4 linked regions of the Oreochromis niloticus genome follow. Each later gene encodes a partner of the first gene's protein in a complex. Links are inferred from orthologs where the notes say so. Each region holds a gene or a part of one and is shown on either strand. Other genes may lie near its edges. The genes, in order: phf20a, kansl2, ogt.1 and kansl3.

Region 1 (7,432 bases):
TAGCAAAACAGAGTGTTGGTTGACTCTTAAAAATCTCATTGATTGATTTATAAAGTAATTATATAATAAAACTGTTGAGCACTTGACCTTTTTAGATGATTTAATATGACTCATGCATAAGTGACATAAAGTTCAGACAGTTCACACACCTGATTGCTTTTCCTCTCCCTCCTTCACTTTTATCTCCAGGTATTCGCTCAGCCATCCAATGTCGCAATTACCAAGATGGATGTGAACAACCTGGCCATGGTGATGGCTCCCAACTGCCTCCGATGCCAGTCCGACGACCCACGGATCATCTTCGAGAACACCCGCAAGGAGATGTCCTTCCTGAGAATGCTCATCGTTCACCTGGACACCAGTTTCATTGAAGGGGTGGTGTAGAGGTTGCAAAGCACAGAGAGTGCACCTCAGGGGCTGATCAGCCCTCAAACGTCTCCAGTTATATATTTAGAAGCATGCAAAAACACTGTCTCTCTGTTCAGACTGCACTGGAAACTGTTGAGGTGACATTAAACTTCTTACAACACAAGGAGTTCGAAAACCGCTTTAGCTGGGACTTTGAGCCCTTGCGCTCTCCTGCTTTCTTACTGAAAGACAAACACACCACCTTAGGATTCACTGATTTTGATACTAAAATCCACAGTGACTGCTTACAAGTGGTTCACTTTAATGACTGTATTTTCTAACCGCTGCATGTGAAGAGGTTTACCTTTATTTCTTATCTAATTGGTAGTATTATAGTTACATGGGACAACTGGGCTGTGCAAAGTACAAAATTAGTTTCAGAAATTCCTTTCTTGCACAAAAAAAACATAAGGCAGCAGTGTTAACGCTCTGCCTTTTTTTTCTTTTTTCTCCTCTCCCCACTCCCCTGGTTGATTTCATTCAAGCGTGTGTGATTGTCAGCGTGTGAACAAAAGGCACAGCCTTCTATTATGTACAGAAAATTGAACATATGAAATGTAAAAGAGATCTTGTAATGGTGTCTTGTTAATAAGCTTGCCTGTGCTGTTTTGAGTAGTCGTACTGATAGCCGGTCTCCTCGTATTTAATTTTACGAGGCATATAAAGCCGCTCCACCGCAATTATTCTGATAGACTACAGAGGCTTCATTTCAAAGCACAAACTAGAGGGATGTGCAGAAAGCTCTTGATAATGAATGGTGGCAATTTTCTAAGCAAATAAACATGGAACTACTTTGATTTTTCCAAATTCAAACGATTGCCGAAGCCAGACGGGAGTGTTAATTCTAATTACAGCTCACGCTGTAACGACGTGAGAGGCTGGTTATTCAACTGATAATACTCTCTCTATTATCTGTAAGATAAATTTCAATTGGAATAGAGTTCTCTTGTGTTTGTGGTCCGTATGTAATGCTTTTTTTTTTTTTTTTGGCTCAGGTCTTACTATAAAACGGGTGTTAGATGTGAGAACTGTACATGGCCTCTCTCTTTCTCTCTCTCACAGACTGAAAATTTGATTAACCTAACACAAGCCTCCTTCACTGAGAATGGAATATTGATTTAACTGTCAAGTGCTATGAGAATGTAAACTGAGCTTATTTGTGACCCTCTTTAAGGCTTTGTCGATGTAAATATTTTACATGTAAAATAGTAGTAACTTCCTGTAAGTGTATTCTAATGGTCTGGGTTATGGGTGAGCTTAACTGTTGCTGTAAAAGAGCAATAAAAAAACTTTTGTGTTGTAATTAACTGATCATTTCTCTGCTGTAACCGCTCATCTTACGAACATAGGAATGATTCAAACCACTTTCCTTGTACATGCGTGTATGTGTTGGCATACTTTCTCATCGTAATAAGGAATGACTGTCCATGAATAAAGATTTGTTCAAAATTACTGTTGGATTCCCTAGTGTGTGTAATTTATTTGTATTTTGATTTTTTTGGTTTGGGGCAGTTTGCCTTTATTCTGGTAATAATAGTTTGGAGAAAAGTATGGAAGAACACCAAGTAACAAAGTAACGAAGTCCTCTGATACCAGGTATGAGGTATGATAAATCACTAATCATTCATTTTCAATCTAATCCTTTACCTGACCATTTTCAGAGGAATGTTTTTGTTTGTTAAGTTGGTTAACAATGTCCCATGAATCATTCACAGGTGTCACAATTGTGTGATAGGCCCCAACCCAGATATTTTCTTGGGCCATTATTAACATGTGGGTGGCTGTGGCTCAGGAGGTAGAGCAGGTTATCTGCTAATCAGGAAGTTGTTGGTTTGATCACTAGGTGCTCCAAGTGTCCTTGGGCGAAATACAAAAGCAGAGTGCGTTCATTGGAGTGTGAAAGCACTTAAATGTGTAAAAAAAATAAATAAAGTGAATGTGTGCTCTTTGAGTCCTCAAGCACAGTAATTTATGAATGGACACATTTATCTAAGCTTCTTCAACTAGGCTACCACAAGCTAAAAACAGATTTAGCTTTGCTAAAGTAACACAAAGACGGCTGTAACGCTCGCAAGAATATAAGAAATGAACCACAGGTCAGACTGCATGGATGGGTCACCCAACCAAACCTTCACACTTGTTTATAGAATTCTTCATTCAACAATTTGCAATGGACCAACTTCTGCATATATCGTCTTGATGCATTCTCAATCATCCAGGAAAGTAAATCTCCAAAAGCTGAATCTGTTCATCTGGACGTAGCGTTTTGTGGGAGAAACGTTTCGTCACTCATCCAAGTGACTTCTTCAGTCTCAGCTGACTGCAGGTGTCCCCAAACCTTATAAACAGTACATTTGCATAATGACTGAAACCAGCCCACTGAAGGAACAATGGGCTGTGAGGTCAGTTCCTTAATCATAGTTATGCAAATTCCCATGACCATTGATCAACAATCACTGACCAAAACCCACTGATCAAAGAACACTGATCAACACTGTTGAATGGTACTCATGGCCATTGATCAGTGGGCTTTAATCAGTGGGTTTTGGTCAGTGATTGTTGATCAAAACCTGCAGTCAGCTGAGACTGAAGAAGTCACTTGGATGAGTGACGAAACGTTTCTCCCACAAAACGCTACGTCCAGATGAACAGATTCAACTTTTGGAGTTCTGCATATATCACACACATACATGACAGTGTGAGTGGATGTTTTCATGCAAGTGGAAACAAATATATCAGTCCTGTTAAGCTTTTTATTCTAAACATAATTTTAGTACATAATACATACATAATTTTTTAGGACCTTGGCTAAAAGAGTTCAGTCTGTGATGAAGGATCATGATGATCATACCAAATAATGACTCAAGCCCATTAGACTTTTACATATTCAGTTTTTGCCTTATATACAGATTTTCTGTTTATGTTTCTTCATTTCAATAAATTACTGCACCTATTTTTATTTTCTAATTGTTTTTTCTTTTGTATATACTCTAAGATTTTATACTAAAATATTTTCTAATGTTAAAATATAAAATGTTGAGTTTTTTATTTGATTTAAGGGATTAAACTATTTTTAACTACTAAAGTATACACTGATACATCAGTTCAATGTAATCATTAGGGATTAAGTTTGTTTTTGGCTTGCATGTTACAAAAGATATTTAATAGCTATATTTAGCAATTTAAAATGTTAATGGATCTAACTCTCAAAAGCAGAAGTAATACGCCTTTATATTTCTCAATCAGCCAATGTTTTTCAGAAAGTAGTTTTAAACAGGGTCCTCTTGCAGTGTGTTACGCAATCACACCCAGAGAATGAGAATCCATTTTTCTTGTTTGTCCTTAGACTCACAAGGGAAAGAGTTAACAATCAGATATACCGGAACCCCCCCCCCCACACACACACACAAACACACTTCTCCACAGTTGTCATTGCCTTCACTGTACATGTTCAAATATTTATTCTTATGTTCATCACTACACAAACTTCACTCTGCTTCATCGGTCATTCTGGTGCAAAGCCCGAGCAACATAAACATTACAGCAAGATAATAGGAGCTCTGGGCTTTGCCTTTGGGACTCGAACAAGTAAAAGAAAAGAGATCCAGGCGAACATACACCGGGGAGACACTCATGTCCCCTGGGCATAGTCAGGGACTGAAAGCATTACTATTCTAAGTTCAAAACAGCAACTTATTTAGGAAACATTAAACACAATTTAACATTATACAAGGAACAGTTGTACTAAAAAGCCATTGAAATTCTGATTTTTTGTGCTTGTATTTATGCTTGTGCCTGTATTTAGACTTTATTACGGATTTGTACAGTATGTGACTTACATTTCTGATTTCAAATACTGTTTTTACATTTTTGTACATTTTCATAGTTATTACAGTTTATAATAGATAAAGTTTGGCAAATTGCAGGTTATTAAATATTTAATGAATATTTATCTATACATACGAAATGAAACAGACTATGAGATGAAACGTCCTATTGATATTCACAAGGGCTTTGGTCCGTTTAATGCGCATGCGCATCGCAGAAGCACACTGCCCGCGCCGGTGGCGAATGCAACGGGGAGAAATTTAACTGCGTGGTCTTGAGCTGACAGGCGGAGCCGGCGGTTCCTGCGCTTTTAATCAGTTACACAGCAGATTATACATCGAACCGGACAAATAGTGACTGGTAAACAGGTAAGAAGCTTGAATATCCACACTTTGCATTCGACAGATTTGAATTCCCAGTAATATCGTGACCGAGGCCCGGTTGGTGGGTGCATCAACAGCGGTATGGTGCCGCATGTCGGCTTTTTGAGTTCAAAACAAACGTGACGAAGTAGGTAATAAAATGTTATACGAGTACATATCGGTTTTGTATTTGTTATATAGCAGGTGTGCTTTCAGGTCCTACGGTCTTTGTTACTCTGTGCTTTGAAATGTCTGTGGCTGTTTAGTTGGAGAAGTTTATACTCGGCATTTCCACGCCGCGCGCACACACAGCCAGAAAAGTATGAAAAAGTAGGCCTTCTGCGAGGCCGCGAACGGCTCTGTGAATGACAGCTGCTCGCCCAATCAAATGTAAGCGTCCCGCCTACACAGCGCTTGTTCGACCAGTGGTGTTTGTCAAAGGGTCTGACGTAGGTGTCAGTTACTTTCGCGCTCCGCCCTCCGGTTATAAAACACTGGACAATAACGCGTCTATAGTGGTAGAAGTGGTCAACAAAAGGAAATCTGGGAAATGTCGAGTCATTTTAGAGTGTTTTTTCTCTTCAGCTTTTCCCTCTTTTATTAAGTTAGAAAATATCGGTTGAACGCTGTTAAAGGTATTGGGTGGGCCGGTGGTAAAATAGTATATGGGGTTCCGTTTTCCTCCGCATATTACAATGCGAAATGTGCTACTCCACACATAGTCTTAGTGGATAATTTTGAGATTAAAGTAATTTTATCACCTGTTTCATGTGCCCTGATTGTGGCATCTCACGTCTCTTGTGCGTCTTCTGTGTCCGTGTCGCTCCCGTCTGTGTAGCTCTCTGCACGCCAATAAACAATCGGTTTGATCTTAAATCGAGTATTTTTGCCGAGCAGACTATTGCTCGCCTCTTAATGTAGCGGGAATACCCTACGTGCAACCATAATGGTCTTTACCATTGTCTCCCATTGTGTCTATACGTGAAATCGACTGACCAAAAAAACACGTGGGCAGGGTAGTGTGAAGATATCCGGTTTGTAGGTTGCGCAGAAATCCGGAGTTACTCCCGACAGTCTCCGCTATGGTGAACCGATTAGGCTCCGTCGTGGACAAAAGTAAGACGCTGTGGTGCATGGTGTGATTCTTTAGTTGTTTAAATAAAAGGCGCCGGCATGTCAGTCTGTCCTGTGTACGTACGCATGACAAAAGAAGCGATGTTATCGGGAGGATTTGGGTCTATTCCTCTGATCGACTCCAATGACCCTCATTATTTTTTATTTTTATTTTTGTTATAGCTGAAATGGTGATCATCAGCGTTATTCTTTATCTGACAACGGCAGTTTAAGCAGAATGTGCTGTTAAATCAATCCCGTGTTAGCTCGGTGCAGAAATGTCTTCCTGCTGTAGTGGTGAATGCCTACAGTGAGCACATTATCTTTGTCATTCTTGAACCTTCTTTCGATGTGTGTGGTTGATAAGGATACACTGAAATCGCACTGTGATAAATTTGATTAAAACCGCTTAGGAGTCTGTGTGAGGACATTTGATTATTTTTATTTTTTTAAAGACTCCTATTCTTTGAGGTAGTGTTTGCTGAACATCTGGTACTGGCTACATATTCACCACCATTTGAGGGGCATGGCTCACCTTAATATATCAGTTTTTAATCTCTGCACACTGTGCCACACCATGTAACAACATTTGTAATCTGTAGCTTGTATAAGCCTACAGTGGTAGTATTTTTCCCTTGCTGGACAGGGTTATTGTTCTGCTGGCACAAAGGGGGTGTCTTACATTGGTATTCAGGTTTAAAGAGTGATTTATTTTTCCAGTCACTTGCTGAAATATTTAGGAAAGACCTCAGGCACACACAGAGGTGACTGCATTATTATCTGTAAAGACCTCGACAGTCGTGTGTGTGTGCACGTGTGTATTGTGTCCCTTGTTCGGCACAATATATGTCTCTTAGTTGCAAAACAGAGGTCATATGAGTGCAGATTCTTTTAATGGTTAATGTGTGTGTGTGTGTGTGCATACAGGAAGGGTGCCTTGATGTGGGCAGTATGAGTAAGACGCCCCCTAACAGAAGAGGGATAACATTTGAGGTGGGAGCTCAGCTTGAGGCTAGAGACAGCCTCAAAAACTGGTGAGTCATGGCCTCACTCATTCCTCTCTCATCCATTTTACTGTTCCCTTCCCTCTCACACCTAAGTTTCCGTTCCTTGTTTGTTTTTGGGCCTTTATTACAGTAACCGTAATGTTTTAAAAATGTTGATGAGTGTTCTCAAGGTGTCCCTTAAGCTCAACTTTGAACTGCATTATTAAGGCTTGTGAAAATCATGTAAAAACATGTTAAATTCTATTTAAAGGAATGATTCCTTTAAATGTGTGATAAGACTACATCATTAGAACACTGCTATTGCAAAGCTAAGTGGGAGCAGCCTTTTAAAATATAAATGTCTTTTATAATAGACGTGCACTCACACGGTTATGTATAAATGCAGTTGATATTGTATACAACAGTTTAGTACTAAAGGTATAATTTAAAAATGAAAACTAACTCCACTACAGTAATGTGTAAATGCCCAGCACACCATCCACTAACTACAGCTGTGCCATGGTTCATTGTTTTTTATGTGTTTACATTTTCAAGCTTGATTTCATTTCTAAAGCCACCCTCATTATATGTTTGAGATAAATGATAAGTGCTCTAAATCACTAGACTTGCCATTCATTCAGCCTTTCTATAAACTAGCCATTGAATTTCTTCCTGTAGGTATGCTGCCAACATTGAGAAGATTGATTATGAAGATGAAAAAGTGTTGATCCATTA
Region 2 (7,700 bases), on another chromosome or scaffold:
CCATTTTCGCTGTCCACACTGCAACGCGAATACGGTGTTTTCAAATTTATCCACTTTGGAGAGTGTTTTCAAACCAAAAATGCCGTCTCAGTGTGGACGGAAGGCCAAAACGGAGAGAAAAAGACGCATTTTCAAGCAAAAACGTATAAGTGTGGACATGGCCTAAGCCTTCTATCTTGAACTACAGATTCTTATTCAAACTACATAACTACACAATGTGAGTTGAGAAGAAAATCTTAAGAGCTTACTTCAGAGGATCCTCGTGATCACTATCGATGCTGTCAGCCTCGCTGTCTGGGTCTCCTCTCCACGTCTGGTCCAATACCAACGGCCCCTGCTCTTCCTCACTCAGACTGTCCTCATCTAGCAAGAGGGAGGAATTAGTGGTATTTTTATCTGACACTTTAGGTCATGTTTAACATCACCCACACAAACGTGTGCGTTTAAGAGTCCTCTGACACTCTTAACATCATTGATGCTAGTTATTTCTCTTGCTACAATTTAAATACAACTTGTCTGGTAATAGGCACTGCTAAAAATGATACATTTTCATAGATAATGTTCATTACTTTTTCTTGACATTTAGCTATGACGGGAATTAAATGACAAGGAAAAAAAATCTAACAAAACAAAATAACTCTTTCACTGTGACCATTACAGACGTTTGCAAAGAGATGGATGTCCTTAGTTTGAACTTAGTGTATTCGTACAACAGGAAATAAATCAGCATTTTACAACATTTAAAGAACAACTAATGAGCTATAAACTTTTTTAATCTTTCCACAAGTGTACCAAATAACCCAACCAATAAAACTAATAAAACAACAAACAGTCTGTACAACTACATCAGCTTAACCCACATGCACCCAAATTACTATTTCCAAGTCAAAAAGTGGCCATTACCTAGAATGCGGCTGGCTTCAGAGCGTCCTCCATCAAGGCTGTGTGACTCTGCTCGGCTGTACCCACTAAGTTGAGACAGCAGGGCCTCTGGTGACGGACCAGAAGACGCCTTTCTCATTTGAGCTCGAAGAGCCATGGCATTCCTGCGAGCGTGCTCTGCACAGAAGGTCACTCTACAGAACAGACATTCAAATTGAAATTAGGAGGCTGCGTGGTACTGATGAGTTTATTTACATTCCCCCTTCTCTTGGGACTAAGTTCCCATTAATGAGATTCACAGCAGATAATGATGAGATTTAATTTCTTCTTAACGATTGTTAATGGCTGATTTGGACCTTCCACCCACCCGTCTTTCCTCTCTGCCTTTGGTGCGGCATTGGGACACCGCTTCCCGTTCTTGGCAGAGACGTAGCTGCACTGTTTGTAAGGCGCATTTTTGTCCTCCAAGATGTGTTTGATGCAGAAGTCCAAGCCTTCAAGTCGTGGCTGAGAGCAGGGCCGCTGGGTGAAGGAGCAAGCCTGTGGCTCCTGAGGTCGGGGTGTCTGGGTCACCCGGTTCCGACTTGAGGGCAAAACGTGGATTCGTATCCTGTTCATTTCAAGCCTGCGTGTAAATTTAATAACAAAAATAAATACATTTTTCCTGTTCACACCAAATGTTTGTATGGCTGCATGCATGAATAACTGCAAGAATACCTATAAAAACATTTGTTTGAATGTTGGAATAATGTTGGTATGTATTTTTATTCAAACTACTATTTTTGGTGACCAACAGGCTGGTATTTCAGAAACTGCTGATCAAAGATGGATCACACAGATCCAACTCTAGGGTTTATAGAGAACAGTATGAAAAAGAGAAAATGTCCAGTGAGCAGCAACATGTCAATAGAAAGAAATTAGAAGAGGATGGCTAGACTGCACTGAGCCGATAGGAACTCAACAGAAACTCAGATAACCACTTGTTTAATCAAGGTATGCAGAAGACCACAGCATGTCAAATCTTAAACCAGATGGGCTACAGCAGCAGAAGACTGGATGATGATACTCCTGTAAGCTAAAGCAAGCAGGAGGGGATTGGAAAAGCAATGTCTGGTCAATTTAATATATATTGAAAGGCCAGGATCTGATGTAAACAACATGAAGCTCCATCCTATGGTGTATCACCAGTTCAGGCTGGTGGTGGCGGTGTAATGGTCGTTCTACGCACACTTTGTTAAAATCCCACAGCATACCCGATTCTGACAATGTTCAACCCTTTATGACCAGAACACTCATGATGGCGGCTTCCAGCAGGATAACATACCGTGTCAGAAAGCTTTAAACTGGTTTTCTGAACAATTACACTGTACTTAAATGGCCAGGATAGATACTCGTGGTTTTTCGCCTTTTGATCCCAAATTTAACCAAAATAGAAAAAAAATATATAGAAAATATGCACATAAGGTGTCATAGACCGAATCACTATGAGTACTTAAATTTAAATGAAGCTGTATAAAAATAAAACAATGTTTTCATGTTATTGGTTTACTGACGTTTAATTGGGCGATGTCAGTTGGTCGTTATTAACTTGAGTAAAAGCTTATAAATATTACGCATACGACCTAAAGGCAATTGTAATAAGTAATACAGAGTAATAAAGGCCGCATTAATGTAAGAGAGAACGGCTTTTTCTTTTAATTCAGATATAAATCGCGGAGACAAACTCCTCTCTGCGTTAATGGATAAACTCTAACCGGGCGCCACACCGAGCTTCAGCCCGCCTCTCCTTACTGCGTCACTTTAACAGTTAAGACGGCAGTCGCCATCTTTGATCAATCGCTGCTAACGGCAGCTAAATGCTAATTTTCTCATTTTGCAGCGAGGATAGCAGGTCGGTGCCAAAAAACTGCCGTATTCCTCCATAACGCCAACGTGATTGTATGCCAGAACATGAACATATCGCTAATTTCTATTTGCGGCCGCCTACCTTTGTCTCGGACATCCGAGCTAGCGTGGTCTCCCGAAGAACACTGTTACGTCGATTTTCCTGCATTCCCTGTTAACTGCCACAGCCGCCGCTTACAATAAGTAACCCCGCCCACCTAAAGATCCGATTAGCCAGTGCGCCGGAGTGAGGTAGCCCATTGGCCTATCCAGTTGCCATTCAAAGTGTCATCCACCCAATCCATTTACACTTTTATCATAGAGCAGGGTCTCGAACTCTTTAGAGCAGCGGTCCCCAACCTTTTTTGCGCCACGGACCGGTTTATGCCCGACAATATTTTCACGGACCGGCCTTTAAGGTGTCACGGATAAATACAACAAAATAAAACTAGTACCGGTACCGAAAAAAAGAAGATTTATTCATAACATACGTGAAAAGACCCAGGAAAACCGAGTTAACGATAAAAACGATAACAAAATAACGCTGAAAACCGATAAAAACCCTGAAAACAATACATTTCACACCCGAGCCTCAACTCTCGTGGCCCGGTACCAAACGACTCACGGACCGGTACCGGTCCGAGGCCCGGGGGTTGGGGACCGCTGCTTTAGAGCACAACTTGACCTCAAGAGGGCTACACTTGTAATACCACTGGATAATATCCCATATCTTTTAAAAATAGAAGAAAAGAAAAGTATATTTCGAAAACATTCAAATGTAAAACTTTAACACACCATGCATTTACAAAATGATGATATATCAAGTAGAGTAAGTGCAATTTCATCAGTTGCTCTACAATGCCTGTATTACCCCTCAAACATAATTTTTTGCGAAATATAATGGGTAAAACTGGATTTTCTTTCAGGGCAGATCAAGCTCCTAGACCACATTTGACATCACTGGCATAGATTAACATTAACAATATTTTTGCAGAGTTTGATGTTCACCTATAAAATGCAATGTTATTGATGAGCCAAAAAGAAGCACTTTCTTAAAATATTTTTATTGACTTTGAGAATAAAGCAACCACATTATATCAAAAAAGAACAGTGTTCACATATTTTAAACTGGAAAAAAAAATCTCAAAACTTTTTCTTTTTCAGACCTGAGTGTCACTGAAAACACCAAGACATGAAAACACATGAAATTTATTGTAGCTATATGATTTTTGCATTGTTAGGTTGCATGAGTGTCGTCCGTTTTTTCTTACATATGGGTTTTAATATGAAATGTGTCCTTTTTGTGGCTTGTTCACAACAAAATGGTAATACTTAAAATGGAAGCTTTGCCCAGATTAAACAAAATGTTTCAAAAACAGTGGCAATTTCACACCAGAAAATCTATTAGTCTAACCATTATACACGTAACACTTTGTCAATTGCATTGTAGGCAAACCTACTGAGATAAATATTCAGTGCATTTACTGTTTCCCTGTTACAACCAAAAATAATAAAACCTCTGCTGCATGAGCAAGAAGCTTCTCTTTTCAAGCACATTTTCAAATATATGAAGGGGGTAAAATATACAGCTGGACGGCTGATTTGCTGTGCTACATTACTGTAAAATAAGAGCACTAATCCTAAACAATTAAAAGTTTTATGAATAGGCAATAACCTGCTTATCTTGCCAACAAAATCTGGGTATTGGCCTTCATGCTCAAGAAGTGGAGGTATATAAATAACCTGCTGGTCACATATGATTCTGTACAACCACAGAAAACATGCAAACATGTTTTTATGATGAATGATGGCATGTGGGCAGATAATAAAACAAACCAACGTTAAATATCCACCAATTTAGTTTAGAGGAATGCAATCGAAAGACAAGTTTAACATGATTAAATCAGACCAGAGTGAAGTGACAGCTACACTAGGGTTTACACTTTTAAAACATCCCCACAATTAGATATAAACAGATGAGCTATGAACTTTTATACGATGTTAAAACTCTGTATACTGTGCTTAGTAGGGTCTAGCAAATCTGGGAAAAAGTTTTTCCTGACATAATTTCTTGTCTTCTGAAAATTATACATTTCCATATATGATGCTTATTTCTTTGTCTTTGCATTTACCTGTGATCACCCTAAAAAAATGAACTCCTGAGGAAACACAATAAGGAAAGAGAAATAGTCTAGACAGATGCTCTTTTTGTTGGCATTTCCTTCATTGTGACCAAAGCGCACAGATGTTTCAACCGTTTGTGAACAGATGAATGTTCTTGCTATGAACTTAGTGTATCCATTCAAGAACCAAATATGAATATTTTACAACCATTTAAAACAATGACTGCAAGACATAAAAACTTAAAGTGAAAAGTATAAGCTTTTCCTAATTTACATCCTTTTTTTTTTTTTGCAAATTTGCAAATATAAAGGTTCCAATGTTTGTTTTAAACATTTTTTTTACATTTTTTTTTCCTCAAATCACCAAATAGCACAGCAAATATAACATATACATAAGGGATGAAGCCATTTTTATGGCTCACAAAAAAAAATAAAAAAGGAAAAAATAAAATAAAGTAAAAAATATATCGAAAAGATGGCTTTGGAGACATGCACTCTAACTAGGCTGTACAGTCTTAAAGAAATGACCATCTGTTCCAAAAGAACAGAGGTTTAACCCTACAAAAAGGTAGAAAAAGGGGACCTTTTTTCTTTTTTAAAATCATTTGATCAATAAATAACACCCTATAAAAACATTATAAAAAGAATCATTTAGAAGACCAACCAGGTATGTCATGGAAATTTTTCCAAACACATTGACATCCTCTAATTCCCGTCTTCTTGTCACATATCATTTGAATTTTTCAAAAAGAAAAAACAAAACACTATCTACACTTTCCCATAATTCTTTTTGTCTCACATTTTGCAAGTCCCATTATTGCCCCACGAGTACGCCATAAAATCCTTTGTTACCCCCAGTACATTTCTCTGCTGTCACACTGAAGACTATAAAATGTTGGGTGGCTGGAAAATATCATACAACACTTTATGTAACAAGATGATCAAGATGTCAAGTAAAATGTACATAATGTGGTTTCCTGATTAGAAACTTATTTGGGCAAAGGCGGCAGTGGGGGAGGCGGCTCCGTGGGCAGGGGAGGGGGCCTAGGGTTGTTTCCTCTGGAGCTGCTCGAGTACCGATAATCACCATACTGAGATCTGTAGTCAAACATAGACTGCTGGGACGGCTGCACACCCTGTGCACTCAGCAGTGAGTTTAGCATCTCAAAAGTGTCCTGGTACTCGTTGGACTGGGCTCCGCCAGCTGCACTGTGACCATTAGTGTCAGTTTTGTCGCTTTTGGAATGCGAATAGCTTCCTTGGTGGTGGGGGAGGCCCAGAGATGGAAGAATGTCAGAACCATGCCCCAAAATTTGTCCGGAGGAGGAAGACAGGGGAGGTAACTGGTAGGGATTCCTAGACTTGCTCACTTTGGAGGGTGGGTGAGATCCCGCTGAAGGATCCTGGGAGTGTGTCCTCTTGCGTGAGGCAGATGAGGATGAGGACGAGGATGAGGAGCTTGTTCTAGAGGAGTCACTTGGTACTTTTTTGCTGCTTCCCAGCGTGCCGCTGGAACTTGATGAATGTTTGTGTGAAGAAGAAAGTGAGGCACTACTGGAAGAGGAATGGTGGTGGTGAGAGTGATGATAATGGTGGTGGTGGTTAGAACGCTCCCTGTGCTTGTCCCTGCTTTTGCCATCCTCTCCTGAAGTCCCCCTCTGCTTGTCAGGCACTCGGATTTTGACTTTGATGTCTGGATCCTGGCCTCGACCACTGCTGCTATGTCCACTGCTTCCTCCTGATCCTCCAGCAACTGGGAAGCGCATTTTTAGAGAATCATGCCTCTCCTTCTCCAAGGGGATTTTAAGAATAATGGGTGATGGGTTGGACATGTCAGAGGAAGCGCTGGGTGGATGATGGTGATGCTGCTGCTTCTCCTTCCTCTGTTGCTGGCCAATGAGGGCCTGAGCTGCATTGGCATAATCTCTCTTTACGCTGGCCTCCATGTTCTCCAACTTTCTCTTTTGGGCAGCCAGGACGTCAGCATTCTTGGCACGGTACTCACTCAGCGACACCTTAGCTGGGGCGTGGACCTCATGGTTAGGCTGCTGCTGTGGTTGCTGTGACTGCTGCTCAGATCCACCTTGACCTTTTCCACTCCAAGTCTGAGCACTGCCAGAAGCATTCGTGTCCTTGTCGCCCACTGATGAGGAAGAGGAGGCAGAAGGTGGAGCAGAGAGGCTCATCAGGCCTGCCACAGTACTCTCTGATGAAGCCATGGAAATCATGCTGATCATGGTGTCCCTCTGGTCACCCTCCTCCTGGACTTTTGGCTTGGCTTTTGGTGTCTGTCCGCCAGCCTGGAAGAAGAAAAAAGTCAGTCAATGTCCACATTGAATCGGGAATTTTTAATAACAAAAAGGAGCAGGTAAATTTGTGTTGTACCTTCCAGTTGCGAATTCGCTTCAGTCGGCTGGGTGTTTTCTCCAGGATTTGCAGGAACTCGTGTGTAAGTTCTGGAAGTGGGGGAAAAAAAAAAAAAGTCAAATCAGCCCTTTAATTATCTAAACATTTTTTTCTTAAAGAGCATTTATTGCACATACCGTCCAGCAGCTCAAGGGTAACTGTAGGGTCGACATACTCCCACCAGTGTTTGCCATCTGTAGACACGGGGATCTCCCAGTTGGACCATTTGCAGGCAAGGTGGATGCACACACAGGCTACAACAGGTGGACTATACTGCAGGCAGAACGTTGTCAAGTGCAGGCTATATGGCATGATACGTCCAAGAAAAAAAGCAAACAGGGAAAGAGAAAACAGAAAATCAGTGTGTTGAGCTTTAACAAACCACACACAAACTTTGGTGAAAAC
Region 3 (7,606 bases), on another chromosome or scaffold:
CTTCCAAACGCCCGAGGGCTTTAAGCAAATTCCCCAAGTCACTGCGCACACAATATAGATCCTGTGGAGATAAAAAAAAATAAATTACTATTTCAATAAACAGCCGATTTGTGGCCATTCTAACTAAATACATGTATAGGGCATTGGCACATATAATTTAGAAAAAATAAATTAACTCACTGGGTTGTATTGTAATGCGGAGACATAAGCCTGCACGGCTCCCTCCATATCTCCTGCGGCCACCAGAGCTGCAGCCAAGTTGATGTACCCATCGATAAAATCTGGCTTGAGTCTCAGAGCATGGCGATAATGCTCTATTGCCTCCTGCAGCTGCCCACGCTCCTTGTACACATTCCCCAGGTTGGAGTAGGCCTCAGCCAACATTGGGTTCTGCTTGATGGCCAAGGTACTGAAGTGAGCGGACCTGCAAGGAAAGATTATGCACAAACGGTTACACTCCAGAGCTGACACAGTTGGTTCAAACTGCTGTGTAGAAACAACAGCAAGGCCCAAGATGTTAAAGAACAGAAAATTAGTTTAAGATGCATTGTCAAATATGATGAAAATCCCAAATATCAAGACACATTAACATGGGCCACAGCACCTGAGCAAAACTCTTTATTCAAATGTCTACTATGCAAACTAATTCTCGTGCAGGCAGTACAGCCCAACATAAGTTATGATGAAAATACTGCGAAGAAGATCACCATGTTCAATCTGATCCCGTGAGCCGTCATGGAACATTTTTACTAACCAACAGTTTTTGGGGTCAACAACAAAAGCATGCAAGTTAAGTTTAGCATTTATATTATGGTTAAATACCAAATTCAACAGCATTACAAGACTGTAATGCTACTGGCATTGTCCACATTTAAGGATTTGAAATGAGTGAAAAAGCATTTAGATCATGTTACTTGAAAGACCCAAGCACCTGAAAAGAAAGGTTACACTCCCACCACCAGAAATGCACAAAACCCAAGTTAAACCACATAACAGGATTTGCACAAGACAGCCCAGCTGCTCCACAGGACTCCCCAGTGTGTGCACTCAAAGCCAAGACGACCCATTTTTCTCTGCTACTGCTCACATGCCCAGTGTGCTTTTCCACCCCCCCAACACCTCACCTGTCGAGTCTTCGGCACTGGAAGTGGATGGAGGACAGGAGCAACAGCACGCCTGTGTTATCAGGCTCCTGCCTCCACAGCTGCATGCAGTGGCGCTCAGCTGCCTCAAAATCCCCTGACTGATACTCCCGGTGCGCCAGCTCAGCCAACCCTTGGAAGGAAAGCATACGTTTTGTTGGTTCTGGAGCACCAACATAAGCCAAGGAGGGGGAAAACGACACGTTAGAGGTGATGGAAAAAATTAAAATCAGACAAATGATAACAGAATTTTTTTTTTTTTTTTAGAGGAAAAAAAGACAAATGCTTTTATTTAAGAAGAGTGACTAACAATTTGAACTCAACATAAAACAAGGTTGGGGTTGGGGGGGGGGGGGGGGGGGGTCATGATACACATTTGGGGATTTTACATTTTATTGTGTTTGTAGGACTCACAATAAAGTCTAACAAATAAAAAAAATGGAGGAAAATAATGTGTGATGGGAAAACAGGCAGGCAGATGGATGAAACAGGTGTGAAAAGTTCTGGCAAAAACCCTCCATAACACATTTTGGATGTTTAGTAATTTCACATATCAAATATGTACTTTTAAAAAAACAACAACAACAAAACACCAGATTACTTTATTGTAACTTATTCTAATACAATTTCTAATTTTTTTTGGCCTTGTGTAATAGTTTTACATACAACTATGGTTTTATAACTACCACTTCACAGTGGTAGTGAACACATCAAAACGCTCTGCTCCAACAAAACGAAATAGTTACTCCAAGGTGGGGCAGAGAAAACAAAGCCACAGCATACAGTTAAACTTTTATTGCAGGGCTAATAATGCAGTAGATCCGGTTTGCTCAAGCGTTCATGACACTTACGTAACATTACTTGTGGAAAGAGTATAGCTTAAATTGCTTAAATCACCAGTCACAATGCGCGTAAATGCCGGGGTTCAGAACATTCTGGTATCAGTATCGCCGATAACCTTTGGGATAAATGCTACCATTAGCCTAAAGGCTATCTGTGCTAAGCGGTGAGGCATGCGGGGCCAACTTCAGTAGCAAGGCCCCCAGATTACAAATTTCAAAGACATCATCAAGCCCCTTTGTGCTAACTTAGCTTTTACAGCGACCCTTAAACATGAAACAAAAATGGTGCACCCCGAGCAAACCGCTAAAGCACCTTCGTGGAACGCTGATTCGTCTGCATTAAAGTGTGACTAGCAGACAATTTACGGCTACTTCGACGCAAACCTGTGCTAACCGCTAAATTACGCTAACGTTAGCTTTAGCGCTTTTATTGTCGCGATGCGAGGTAGAAATTTGAGCCCGCGTTGCTATTACTAACATGTTCTTCCACGTTGGACAAAAGACAAATTTAATAAAAACGTGGCTAAAATGGTTTACCGATTTTCTTTTTTTTTTTAAGGTCTATTTGTTAGATACTAGCTCGATCGCATCTAAGGGGGAAAAACCTACACAAGGACACCGTCTTTGAAGCTTGCCTTGTTGCCTTCTGTGTAGAATTACTTGCATAAAAACAGCAAACCTGTGCTGTCGGCCACGTTTCCCACTGAGCTCGCCATCTCCTCGGTCTTCGAGTCTTGCACGGTGGTCGTCAATGTGTCCTCTAGCAGATAACAATTTCAGAGAAAAAAAAATTGCGACAAGCAGCAAACACGCTGCCCGAATAGCTATGCAGATTTAGCTAAACTAATGTCCTAACGTATGTTTTTTTTTTTCCCCCCCCTAAAGCGACAAATGTAGATCTCGCAGTGGTTAGTATCAGCTGGCTAATACCCAATCAATTGTCTTGCTGTTAAGAGGTCGTTTTTAAGCTAACATGTTACGTGCTGTTTGTTAAATGGCTCTTGCTAGCTTCCCCTTCCCAACAAAGCAGCAGTGAATCATAAAATGGCGAGATGGGTGGAACTCGTTTTTGAGATAAACTAGATCCGTTCACCGCCGTTACCGAGACACGTGTGTAAAACTGTAATAAATATCGCACTTAGCGATATAAAAATATTTCAGAAGATTTGTGATTACATTTTTCTTCATTTATCGCGTGTTATTTCTTTGTTTACTAAAGTTTAAAAAACACATTAGGAACGATGCTGCGCGGAAGAACACATTGGTGCAGTGAGACGGAGTGCAAATGGAAAAAGCCAGCAGAGAACCGGTTGTAAGATTCACGAGGCAGATCATCTATGGATTGTAACGTGTTACCACAGCCGCACGAGTCTGGCGTGCAGATTGGCGGTAACACGGAAGGAGAATAATGTGAGACACTGACATTATATAACAGTGGGTGGATTCTGTTTAAATTACGCAATGTACAGCTGAAGATCTACGCGGCTGTGCTATGTAGATAAAAGAGGCGCAAAAACTGAAGTGGTAGTGATGTTACCTAAAATACAATTCAAGAATTACATTATGCAATTATACAGTACTGTGAACAAGTTGTCACAGATCATTCAGATCATCAAGCAAAGCTTAATATTAGACACAGATTAATGAGATAAATTATGATTTATTTTAGTAAATAAATCCCAATTTGTGAAAAAGTAAATGCCCTCGAAACCTGTTTTTAATCCAGACTTTGACTAAGCCACTAAAATATCTTTATTTTGCTTCTGTTTTTGTTTTTCTTATTTTTTAAGTCATTTAGAAGTGGACTTGGTGTGTTTTGTATCATTGTCCCACTCATAATCCAAACAGGCTTGGGCTTCAGGACATGAAGTGCTAGCCAGACATTTTCCTTCAGGATTTTCTGGTAGAGAGCAGAATTCAAAGTTCCATCAATTACGGTAAGTCGTCCCTGTCCTGGAGCAGCAAAGCAGCCTCAGACCATCACACTACCACCACAGTATTTGACTGCTGGTATGATGCTCCATTTGACCAAATACTGTGTTAGTTTTATGCTAGATATAACGGGACTCAAACGTTCCCAAATGTTCAGCTTTTGTCTTGTCAGTCCAAAGACTATTTTCCTTAAATTCCTAAATATATGATCAAGATGTTTTGTTAGACGAGTCTTTGTGTTCTTTTTGGTCAGCGATGGTTTTCTCCTTGAACTCTCCCAGCTCTCTTTCTTATTTTTTAATCATAAACTCTGACCTTAACTGAGACGTGTGAAGCGGTTCTTTAATGTTGATTTGGGGTTTTTTGTGACGTCCTGGCTGAGTCATCGTTGCTCTCTTGGAGTAATTTTGGTAGGCCGGCAACTCCTGCAAAGGTTCACCTCTGTTCCATTTTTTTCTCTATTTGTGGATAATGGCTCTCACTGTGAGTCACTGGAGTCTCATTACCTTAGAAATCGCTTTCCAAACCTTTCCAGACTGATAAATGTCAGTGACTGTTCCTTATCTGTTCTCGAGTTTCTTTAGATCGTTCCATGATGCGTTACTTTTTGAGATCTTTTAGCAAACTTCACTTCTCCGATAGGTTCTATTAAGTGAGTTCTTGGTTCGACAGGCCATTAATCAGGCCTGGGTGTGGCAGGAGAAACTGACCTTACTATTTTTGATAAACGTGGTTAATCACAGTTAGTTCATCATGGGGAGGAAGGTAGATAACTTTTCCCCTAATAAATTTCTTTCTTTCTATTTACCCAGGTTATCTTTGCCTGATATTAAAATTTGTTTGATGATCTGAAACATGTGATTGTGAGAAATATGCAAAAACCTAAGGAATCAGGAAGGGGGGAAAATACTTTACACTTTACAACTGTGCATACTTTAATGAGCAGATCAGCTGAAAGTGTAGAAAAATTTAAGGAATGGAAAATAATTTCCACATATTCCAGATATTTGTTAGGGACAATGTTAAGCCATATAATTTCTTTAATGTTTGGGATTGTTTCATTGTGGGACAAAGAGGGGTGGGGGTGTACAGGGTTTTTTGTTGTTTTTCGTTCCATCTATTTCTAATTTCAATACCTGCATGACTCCCCAACACAATAGGTGTAGCTTTAGCATAAATTCTGAATTAATTAAGATAGAAATTGGTTTTCAAAAACCTTTGTCAGCACAGGCAGTCAGCTTGGGTGTACAAGCTGCACGGTATGCAGCTTTTTGGTGCAACTATTCTGCAGGATTCATAATCACCAACAGAGGGCAACCTTTGTAAACCCATTTCTTAGATTCAGATCCGGAGCCTTGCAGACTGGCCTAAGACACTGTGCATTAGATCTTTTTATTTCTGCAACATGTGTCTGTAGTTGGAAATGTGATGTAATGTACTACTAAGATGTTCTTCCTTTTTTCACAAAACTGCAAGAATCCTTTCTATGGTTTTAAAGCTTTACATCAACCAGCATCAGAATTTAGTGACTGTTTTGTATTCAAACTAAGTGGTTATGTACAACAACTCTTTGAGTGACATATTTAATGTTACCTTTTCCAATTAAATGTGAGGGATTAATATGCCATTTATGCTAGAAGATGTTAAAAAGGGGGGCTGCACCCCAGTTTTTTCCCATAGCCTCTCTATGGGAAAGCAGCTGACATCACTGCCCATGTTGGTTTTGCTCTGTGTGCTCAAAGCATGCACAGGGCGCCTGGTTTGTGTGCTCTTCTTCACGTTCCTCTGCTTTGCTCTCACTCTTCACACCGCTTCGTCGGCCTCTTGTGCACAGGATGATGTCATGGGTACCGTGTGTCTATGGCGATTGAATGTGACATGCTTTATCTTTGTGCAGGCTACGGTCACAAGGAAGGCAGTCAGTGTGAACGCATCTTCCCCTGCCGAAAGGGTCAGTGACAGCTCCGCACAACAGACCCTGCTTTCACACAAGCTATTTTAGGAAGCGTCCGAGAGCAAGGGGTCCGATCACACGTCAATTTGGATATGGCGATATCAAAATCACAGCAAAGCTGGGAGATATTTGGAGTCCGTTGTGCTGCTAAAATACCAGCCCAGAAAATTCTGCCACCAAATGAGTGGCCTAAATTATTTCAGCCCATTTATTTTCGGATAAGATCCAGTGCAAGCTGATGACCCACATTATTAGCAGTGTTTTGGAATGCTTTACTCGGGGGTTATTTGTTTATTTGTTGAATATTTTTGTTGCATTCAGTCATTCGTACCTAAACGGGTACGTATTATGCTCATTTCCACTCTATATTTTTATTCTTGGTCACCACTACTTTAGCTTTGCATCCATTTGATAAACACTTATCCAGTTCAAGATCAGAGGAATTGTGGAGCCTTTCATCTCATCCACAAACCGAAACAAGCTTTTTTAGCTCTTCTCCCTTTAAAACAGAGGAGCATTATTATTGATACCATATAAAAAAGAGCACTATGAAATCCTGGGTCTGCAGAACATGAGCTCACTCTACACATGTTGTTCTGTAATTAGTAATTTTCACATTCCTCTGCTCTTTCCAATTCTGAACATCAAGTATTTCAGAACCTGTCTACAGTTTCACATTAATGGATCCTTTTGATTTTTATGGCTGTAACCTTGTTGAGGCACTAACCCAGCCACAGGGGAGCTGCAAGCAAGTATACGGCTAATGTCAGTCCCAATCCTGGATAAATCAGGAGGAATGGTGTTTGCCATAAAATGAAAAATGAAGACAGGTGTGTAGAGGTTAGACTAGGGACTTTAAATACAGGGGACATGGCTGGTAAGTGGAAGGAGAGCTGGCTTATATGGTTGAGATGGCAAAGATAGAGTAGAGAGACGAAGTTGAGACAGTTGGGATTTGCAGAGGTGAGATTGTGGTTAAAGTGAACAAAGGATGGCACCAGGCAGGAGGAAAAGGCGAAGAATATAGAGAGGATTCATGGATGTAGTGAAGGAGCGTATGCAGAGGGCTGGTATGTCAAAGGAGAATGCTGGGGATAGGATGAGACTGATGCAGAGGATCAGTTGTGGGGAACCCTAAAGGGAGCAGCTGAAAGAAGAAGAGCGTTGTTGAGGCATTGTAATTCAAAACTCATATATTCTATTTACACTGACGATAAGTGTTAGTTCACAAAGAAGTTGAATTTTACTTTAAGATGATTACATTTTATGAGGAACATTCTGACTATAATGAGCAAGCTGCAAAAAAACCCCCCCCAAAAAACCAATCATCTGCATCTAGGCAAATAAATGTCCCATCTGCATCTGCTAAACTTGCCTTTGATTACAAACTACAACGAGCAAGAAAGGAAAGAGATCCAGACAGAAGTCCTGAATTCACACAGAACACAAATATCAGGGAAAAACCAAATGGCTTCACAAGATTGCTAATAAGAAAACATCCATCCATCCATCCATCTTCTTCTGTTTATCCAGCTGGCTCATGGACAGCAGTTAAGCAAAACACCCAGACTTCTCTCTCCCTTGTCATCTCCTCTAGCTTATCCAGGGGACCATCGAGGTGTACCCAGACCAGCAGAGAGATGTAATCTCTCCAATGTGTCCTGCCCTGGGGCCTCCTTCTAGTGGGACATGGCTGAAACACCTCACCCAGGAAGCGACCAGGAGTCATACTTGCC
Region 4 (7,977 bases), on another chromosome or scaffold:
GCATCAGAATCGCTAAGCTCCGGCAGTGTGTCCGTGTTCGGGCCGTGGGGTGAGAAAGCCGAGAAAGACAAAGCTGATTCTGATGCGTCGGGTCCGCTCTGTGTTTACGTCTTTGTGTGGAATCCGTTAATGAATTGATATGGCTTTATTCAAGCTACTCACCTCTCTCTTCCACCTGCACTTTCAACTGGACCACGGCCAATCAGAGAGGTCCCGCCCCTGACTATCTCTGATTGGTTTAGTCCACGATAGGGGCATAATGTGTGTCTGTTGTTGACCACACGGAGAGTTGCAGAGATTTTTTTTTTTTTGTTACCCGAAAATATTTGGTCGCACCGGTGTGACCAAATTTTTTGGTCGCATTTGCGACCAAATTGGTTGCACTCTAGAGCCCTGGTACATCACCCAGTAGCTTTCTTCATTTTTGTTTATTAAATGTATCAACCAAAGTGCAGGGTATGCAAAGGAGCAGGGTATGCAATTCTCTGGGCAGATCTAGTGACTCAAAACCTGCATCACACACAGGCAAAACATGACCCAAGGGCCAGAGCCAGGCTGCACAACACTTTTAGACACTTGAAGCCCTCAAAGAAAAACTAAAATGAACCCCAAAAATAAGAATGAAAGGGGGGGATTGTGTTAACTAATCTTGGGGAGAATAACTGCAGCAAGTCTGTTCTGCAAGTCAAACAGGGGGTGCTTCACTACAAACTAACTTTTTGTGATGAACTACAATGCATTACAGATCTCAGCAGATGGATAAACATGCAACTCCCCTTGGGCTTGAATGCATCTTTTGCAAATCTCAAACAGCAGTAACTTATCCTCATAACTTAGCTGCAGCCACATATGTAAAACCGAACAGACAATTAAATCAGACATTCATATACAAGTGTGTTTGTTTATGGGTTTCACAAACAGAACAGATTCTGCATTTAAAAATGTTCTTAATTTACTGATGCAGGCACATATTCTATTATTGCATCAGCTGAGTATATCTATATTTAGATATTAGGCAACAGCATATTGTCACAAAGTGGCAATATTATTTATAATATATCATTTCAACTGTTAAATCTTTTCTCACAGTCAAACAAAGAAGATGTGAATCACTTTTGAGAATATCTGATTTAAAAAACAACAACAAAACCCCCCAAAACAAACAACAACAACAACAACGGAACAAAAACTTACATTTTCATTGGCCAGACGGGCTAGTCTTTCCGCTTGCAGAGCTTTAATGACCTTGTTGAACAATTTGTTCTGGGCCACTGTCCATCCAGTCCTGAAGCAGAATTATTTCAAAGTGATTTACTGTAAGTGAATCACTTTGCATGATGCACATGTGGAGCATTGAGGCGTTTGCTTACTTGTTTACATGTTCCTCCCAGTCATCAGGGGGCGGGGGACTCTCAGCAACTGTACGAGCAAACAGGACATGCCGCTCGCACTCCTTCATCACACTAAGGGCTTTGTGGTTATCATATAGAGGAACGGGTGTTGGAGTTACAGTTTCCACATCTATTACAGAATCTGAATCTCTGCAGAAAAAGAAAAAAATACCACATCACTGCAAGTGATTAAAAATGCTCATCAGATGACTAATTTTACCACGGCTAAAGAGAAGTAGCCTAATAGGAGCATTTTTAACTCACAAAACGGGTTCAGGTTGGCGACGTGGGGTAACAAACAGCGTCCTCGTGGGTCGAGCACTGCTGGCATCTGGGTGGGCATTCCATGGTTTGGCATAGCTGTGGTCCAGAAATACTAAATCTAACTCTCTTTCATGGGCTGAGAGCTGGAACAACAAGGATGTGCCCATCTTTCGAGCTGAGGTCTGGAAGTCTTTATCTCCACCACGATGCATCCTCTTCCTGGGCCCCAAAGGGCCCCGGGAAGACCTCAACAACTGGTGCTGATTCAGGACAAACTTGGGGAAGAAGGGAAGAATTGTTTTTGTATTTTATGTAAGACAATCCAAGAATATTATCACATTTGTCTGCCAAAAAATGACTTGATCATAAAGTGGTTCTGCTAATTTTACAGAAATACTGTTAAACATAGAAAACACAGACACACGCCCAAGCACATATATGTGGGGAAAAACTGTGTGTGTGTGAAAAGATCTGTATCAATTTTAATATTGAAACTCTTACATCATAAAACCATAAAGTTTGTGGTAGGAAAATAGCCCCAAACAAAGCCTTTAACACCCTTTAAGTGTTGACATATCAGAAAGACAACAGAATAATTGAACTACAGTCAGCTCTGTGGAAGCGAGCACATTCAAGGGTCTGCACTTACACAACTTCTAGTTTTCATGCATACTGACAACGGGTTGAGCTCCAAATATAACTTATTTATAAGTTATTGATTAAAAACAACAACAAGAACAACAACAGCCTAAAACCCCCCAGAAAGCAACAATAAAATCACTAACAAAACAGCACAATGAGCAATAGCGAAACAGGTTCAGCCCTGGTACAGACTGACGCTTAACACGTTTATACTCTGTAAGCACCACCCATTAGCTTCTACCATGTACTAGATATTATTTTGCCATTATAAACAACATATTGAGTCGCGTGTGGCAACTAACCGAACGTCCCACTTAATACGTGGGTTAAGTATAATAGGTTCAATATTTATCACAAATACCTTCGCAAATTCACCCGCGACTGAAAGCTGCGTAATGACCTAGCATGCTAGCATAATCATAGCGAGCTAAAAGCTAAGCAAATGGTGTTCCGCTCTTTACCTCTTACTTTGATCACTCCATGTTGGCCGCGACGGCTTCAGCTCCTGCTTCGAGCAAAGCAAATATAAGAACGGCGTATTTACCGGGCAATGGAAGAGGTTATATGAAACATAAACATTTAGCTCGTAAAAGCCACTTCCTTTTGTTCGCTTCGTTGCCTTGTTAGGCTCCGCGCCCTCCCTTTCTAGGCCCTAAATTCAAGCGGCTCAGTCAGGCCTGCTGTTTCTACCAAACTGGCAACCCTGATCGTGGCGCGTCAGAGAGAGAATGACGCAAAATATGGACTGGATTGATAAAAGTCTGGATTATTATCGGTCCCCCCAGAAATAAAATACATGATTTAATGACATGAAATGTGCGTAACTGTAACTTGTTAAAAATGAATCGTACCATTTCCAAGAGAATTATATGTACAGTATATTCTATGACTTTTTTTTTCGTAGGTAATGTCATTCTTCAAAGGTTGATTCTGTTCATCTGGACATAACGTATTCAGTGGGAGCAAAGTTTCGTCACTCATCCAAGTGACTTCTTCAGTCTCAGCTGACTGCAGGTTTCCCCAGTCTTATAAACAGTACATTTGCATATTGACTGAAACTAACACTGAATGAACAATGGGCTGGGAGGTCAGTTCCTTCATCATGATTATGCACATTCTCATGACCATTGATCAACAACCACTGATCAATGGGCATGAGTACTATTCACAGAGAGTTGGGGAATGGCTGCAATCACAGCACTGTAAGATGGCGAAAGATGTCCCCGTAGGCCCCCTCCTCGATTCAGAGATGGTCTTTCCCTTTTCACTCCGCGCTCAAACCAGCGATCCTCCCTGTCCAGGATGTGTACATCCTCATCATTGAAAGAGGTAATGTAATGATGCGATTTGCTTTCAGGAATTTCCTTGCCACCCATCTGCACGCCCCCCTATCCCTTGCTAAATTCTTATTTTTTTTTAAACTGTAAATAACAAGAAAAATAAAATTAGTAACCGACTTTCACTTTCAGAACTCCAGATCAGTGAATGATGACAGTGACAGTAACACCGGATCCTGTTCCGTACAGCTTTTCATTAAACCAATAATAAAGCCACTGTTTCAGTGTAAAAACTACAATTAATTAAATACAAGAGAAATGAACCGGTTTCAGAGCGACAGGAGAAGGAAAAAATCTATAAATAACCGTAAGCTTTCAAATTGCACCCATTGTTGTTTTATAATGCTTTAATGCTCCTATTAATACTATTAACCCTGGGGCCACTTTGGACTTTACATATCTGCTCCAGACACATCCGCCACCAGACACAGCCTTGCAAGGCTGTCCTATGTTGGTAATAATTCTAATAAAAGTGAGCACAAAAGAGAGGAAGACACCCTGCAATGAGCTGAAACATTAACTTGTTATTTGCTGCTTAAAACAGATTATTATTATTATTATTTGGTTTTCATATGTACCTGTTTTCACTGATATTAACTTTAATAGAAGGAAATTAACTAGACAGGGCAGCACGGTGGCAAGGTGGTTAGCCTTGTTGTTGCCTCACAGCAAGAAGGTCCTGAGTTCAGTTCCACCATCAGGGGTCTTTCTATGTGGACTTTGCATGTTCTCCCCCGTGTTTGTGTGGGTTCTCCCATAGTCCAAAGACCTGCAGTTAGTGGGGATAGGTTAATTGGAAACTCTAAATTGTCCATAGGTGTGAATGTGAGTGCGAATGGTTGTCTGTGTCCCTGCGACAGACTAGCGACCTGGCTAAGGTGTACCCTGCCTTTTGCCCTAAGACAGCTGGGATAGTGTGACCCTGAAAAAGGATAAGTGGAAGTGAACAGATGGATATAATTCTTTTCTGTCTCTCTTTTTTTGTCATATCTTTCAAGGAACCTATTTTTGACAACAGCATAATAAAAATGAAAATTCTGTTTTTGGTGTGCCACTCCAATGTTTTTAGTGTCCCCTATATGGCCACCATGAAGCCAGTGTGAATGTGCATTAAACCTACATTCTTTTTAACAGCCAAAATGGAACAATAAGTTGCAAAAATACTAATAAGCCTATAGAAGTCTACAGAAAACGACCCTTGCTTTTTACCTCATTAAAAATTTTCTCAATAAAGATTATGGTCTCAGTCACTAATTTTGGGTAAGAAGTCTGTTTTATGAATTGTATTCAGTCTAAGTTACAGAAAGGAGGGTTTGAGGCATAGATTATACAATAAAGTCATAGATCATATCACTAATAAAGGTGTCTGTGAAGGTATTCTCAAGGGTTGGATAACTGTCAAAAACAAGAGGCTCCTGGTGATTTTTTTAAAATTAGTTTGGGTTCAGTTTAAGATTTGGTAAAACCAACAAATCAGAAAGGAAGGAAATCAATGAGGAAAATATGTTTTGGTAGCAGACTGACTAGGGATGACAGTTTTCAATTAAAATCATGTGTAACATTTTACAAGACTGAAGTCGCATGTCGTTTAAATGTCTGTTCTTTTCTAACAATAACCTGTTATAGCTTGGCTGTATTTGGAGCTGAGAGTGTGCCGCAGTGACATACCTTTATAAAAACTGCCACAGCAATATTTCTTTGTGTTGCAACTGTAATGTTCATAATTGCATTTTGATAATTTAATCTATCCTCCCGTCCAGGTGAAATCGCGTTTAAAATATAGAAAGCTAAAAAGTATTTCATAATATCAGTGTGCAGTGTCTAAAACCAATGGCTGACACCACTGTGTCCATCTACTTGCTCTCTGACCATCACAACCAGCTTTTTTACATAGTTTCTGTTGTAATTTAACTATTCTTCTAATAACGTTTTAATATTAAAAACTTCACCACACACACACACACACACACACACACACACACACACACACACACACACACACACACACACACACACACACACACCAAAACTATGTCTGAGCCAAGTTATGAGAACTACTGCTCCAAGCGACTTCATCCCCTCGATGCTAGAATTTCTTTTGCATCCGTAAAACACCCACCAAGTGTGAAGCAGCTTAGTCTACTATTATCTGATTCCTGCACGATTTGAGTTGGCAAAGATACAGACACTCTTTTTTAAGTAGAAGTACAGATACATAATTAAAAAATGCTCTGGTAAGAGCTCAAATACTGATTCAACTTCTTACTCAAGTAAAACTGAAAAAGTACAGGCTCTGAAATCTCAAAATAATACATTAAAAGTAGCTCTTTGTTGGGCATTTCCATCTGTGCAAAGGACTTCATGCTATTCAATATAACACAATATTAGAATTGTATTAGAACTCTAGTTCAATTGAATTTCTAATTCTAATGCATTAAACCACCTTGAACACAAACAAAGAAAACTAAAAACTAAAAAAAACCCTCTATTTTATGCTGCCTAAATTGTAGAGGGTGACTTTGCCTCCGCACCTAAACAGAAAAGTGAGTATAGTCAGGGGTTAAAGTGGGATTCGGCAGATGGGGGTTTTAGTGACTATGCGTGGGGAAAAGAATCACAACTCGCAATAATTTCCATGAACTCTAGTAGATTTGCAGAGCTGAATTCAACAACATATTGCCAGTTTCCATGCCCTTTCATCTTTAAACCAGAAAAAAACCCATAACTTCACATCATATACAGATACATATACAGCAATAGAAAGTAGAGATATTTGTGTAAAAATGTAGGGAGTAAAAGTGAAAAGTTTTCAGAATAAATAATAATACTATTAATACTCAGAAATATTAACTAATAAATACTCTAGTAAAGCAAAGGTACTTGAAAATTCTCCCAAAGTATAGTAATGATGTGTTTTTCCTTTAATAATTCCCACGTCTGTTATTTGGTGAGTGACAGATTGCGAGATCTCTGGCTCAGACTTTCAAGCTGCCTGTGGAACTGAAGGTTGAGGTGCCTGAGCTGAAAAAGTGACTGAGAGTCGGTGAATGAGTGAGTGAAGGAGAAACCCAGACAGATGATAGTGGTCAACGCTAGATGAGAAGAACCATGACCAACATTTTTTTATTTAGCTCTGTTAACATTCAATGCAACTCACCAAACATGCATCATATGAATTCTTGTTCAAGAATCTAAAACGATTAACAGGCATTTTGAATATGTTTTCTTCCTCAAAAATGGCACGAAAGCGATATGAAAGGCATCATTTATATGAAACGCCCATCTTCAGACTTTCAGAACACCATAAAAAAATGAATCACTTCAATACTGCACTAAAAACTGGACACCGTATTGTTGGGTCATCTTTCTTGTGCACTACATATTCACATGCCTCTGGGTCAAACACTGACACACAGTCATCAGGGAACCATTGTGGGGTGGCACACCTGTGATAATGCAAAAGACACACAGTTAACAGTGCATCATGTAAAGTCAAATATAACTGATTTTTCCATCTATTTAAATATCAGTAATTTAATGTAAACACTAATGCACGGCAACATCTGGTGCAAGTACAGTCCCAACAATTAGCTCTCCATCGAGATCCCACTGCATGCCAATTGTTATTGTCATCCTTACGATGGGTTGATAGATAGATAGATATTATTCTGGCACAGTTCCTATTGAACTAAAAAATGTGAGTGTATGTTTATCTCTGTGTGTTATTTCAGTTTTTTTCTTACCAGGTTATAATTTTTTGTTGATGCACTCACTATTTGTCAGTGACAGCAGAGTGCACAGCAGCAGAGCCAGAGCCAAGTATTTCTTCAGAGGAAAACAAACATTGCAGTTTGATTAGGCACCATCTAAGTAATTACTTCTGTACATTTAATTACCAGTAAACATTAAGTCTTATAAAATTGCTGCTTATTTCCATAATTTATATCATTTTAGCCTGTCAGAAATGTACAAAACAACTGTTTTGTACATTTCTGACAATATTCAGATCTTCTTTATTTCTTTTAAATCGGAGAAATAACTTGATATGCCAAGTTTAAACAAACACAGTTTGCATGCAAGCTTACTGGAATTTACAGGCAGTAGGATAGACCACCCCTCCCTTCTGTTTAATTTCAAAGGTCAGGCAGCATTTTTTGGAAAATGATTTAGTTCTTGCTTCAAGGTAAATAGATATTCAGTTCCGATATCACATGATGAGTTGTCACTGCTTTACTATTACAGGTATGTTTTGTTTCCAATGAGGGACTATCAAAATAAGACAGGAAGTAATTAAAACATGAAAACACTGAACACTTAGACAGAGAGCTTAATATGTGTGTGAC

What was found.
Region 2: phf20a (region 1) and kansl2 share a complex: the UniProt entries of both Homo sapiens proteins name them as parts of the NSL complex. The link is inferred for Oreochromis niloticus from reciprocal best matches to the Homo sapiens genes PHF20 and KANSL2.
Region 3: phf20a (region 1) and ogt.1 share a complex: the UniProt entries of both Homo sapiens proteins name them as parts of the NSL complex. The link is inferred for Oreochromis niloticus from reciprocal best matches to the Homo sapiens genes PHF20 and OGT.
Region 4: phf20a (region 1) and kansl3 share a complex: the UniProt entries of both Homo sapiens proteins name them as parts of the NSL complex. The link is inferred for Oreochromis niloticus from reciprocal best matches to the Homo sapiens genes PHF20 and KANSL3.

What each region holds. Positions count from the first base shown.
Region 1 is NC_031970.2:31,064,956-31,072,387, forward strand, and holds the start of phf20a (PHD finger protein 20), read left to right. Parts: upstream 1-4,429; 5' UTR 4,430-4,604; intron 4,605-5,093; exon of another isoform or gene 5,094-5,233; intron 5,234-5,255; exon of another isoform or gene 5,256-5,714; intron 5,715-6,638; 5' UTR 6,639-6,662; coding exon 6,663-6,745; intron 6,746-7,375; coding exon 7,376-7,432. Other genes in the region: arhgap46a (rho GTPase-activating protein 39), read left to right, coding at 190-384. UniProt on the Homo sapiens protein: Methyllysine-binding protein, component of the MOF histone acetyltransferase protein complex.
Region 2 is NC_031984.2:6,824,439-6,832,138, forward strand, and holds the start of kansl2 (KAT8 regulatory NSL complex subunit 2), read right to left. Parts: upstream 3,002-7,700; 5' UTR 2,870-3,001; intron 1,508-2,869; 5' UTR 1,501-1,507; coding exon 1,250-1,500; intron 1,077-1,249; coding exon 904-1,076; intron 364-903; coding exon 249-363; intron 1-248. Other genes in the region: ccnt1 (cyclin-T1), read right to left, coding at 5,879-7,189, 7,275-7,345, 7,433-7,596. UniProt on the Homo sapiens protein: Non-catalytic component of the NSL histone acetyltransferase complex, a multiprotein complex that mediates histone H4 acetylation at 'Lys-5'- and 'Lys-8' (H4K5ac and H4K8ac) at transcription start sites and promotes transcription initiation.
Region 3 is NC_031966.2:27,677,143-27,684,748, reverse strand, and holds the start of ogt.1 (UDP-N-acetylglucosamine--peptide N-acetylglucosaminyltransferase 110 kDa subunit), read right to left. Parts: upstream 3,011-7,606; 5' UTR 2,701-3,010; coding exon 2,664-2,700; intron 1,306-2,663; coding exon 1,125-1,305; intron 425-1,124; coding exon 181-424; intron 62-180; coding exon 1-61. UniProt on the Homo sapiens protein: Catalyzes the transfer of a single N-acetylglucosamine from UDP-GlcNAc to a serine or threonine residue in cytoplasmic and nuclear proteins resulting in their modification with a beta-linked N-acetylglucosamine (O-GlcNAc).
Region 4 is NC_031977.2:13,605,917-13,613,893, reverse strand, and holds the start of kansl3 (KAT8 regulatory NSL complex subunit 3), read right to left. Parts: upstream 3,019-7,977; 5' UTR 2,766-3,018; exon of another isoform or gene 2,759-2,765; intron 2,682-2,758; exon of another isoform or gene 2,659-2,681; intron 1,931-2,658; 5' UTR 1,868-1,930; coding exon 1,656-1,867; intron 1,542-1,655; coding exon 1,371-1,541; intron 1,286-1,370; coding exon 1,195-1,285; intron 1-1,194. UniProt on the Homo sapiens protein: Non-catalytic component of the NSL histone acetyltransferase complex, a multiprotein complex that mediates histone H4 acetylation at 'Lys-5'- and 'Lys-8' (H4K5ac and H4K8ac) at transcription start sites and promotes transcription initiation.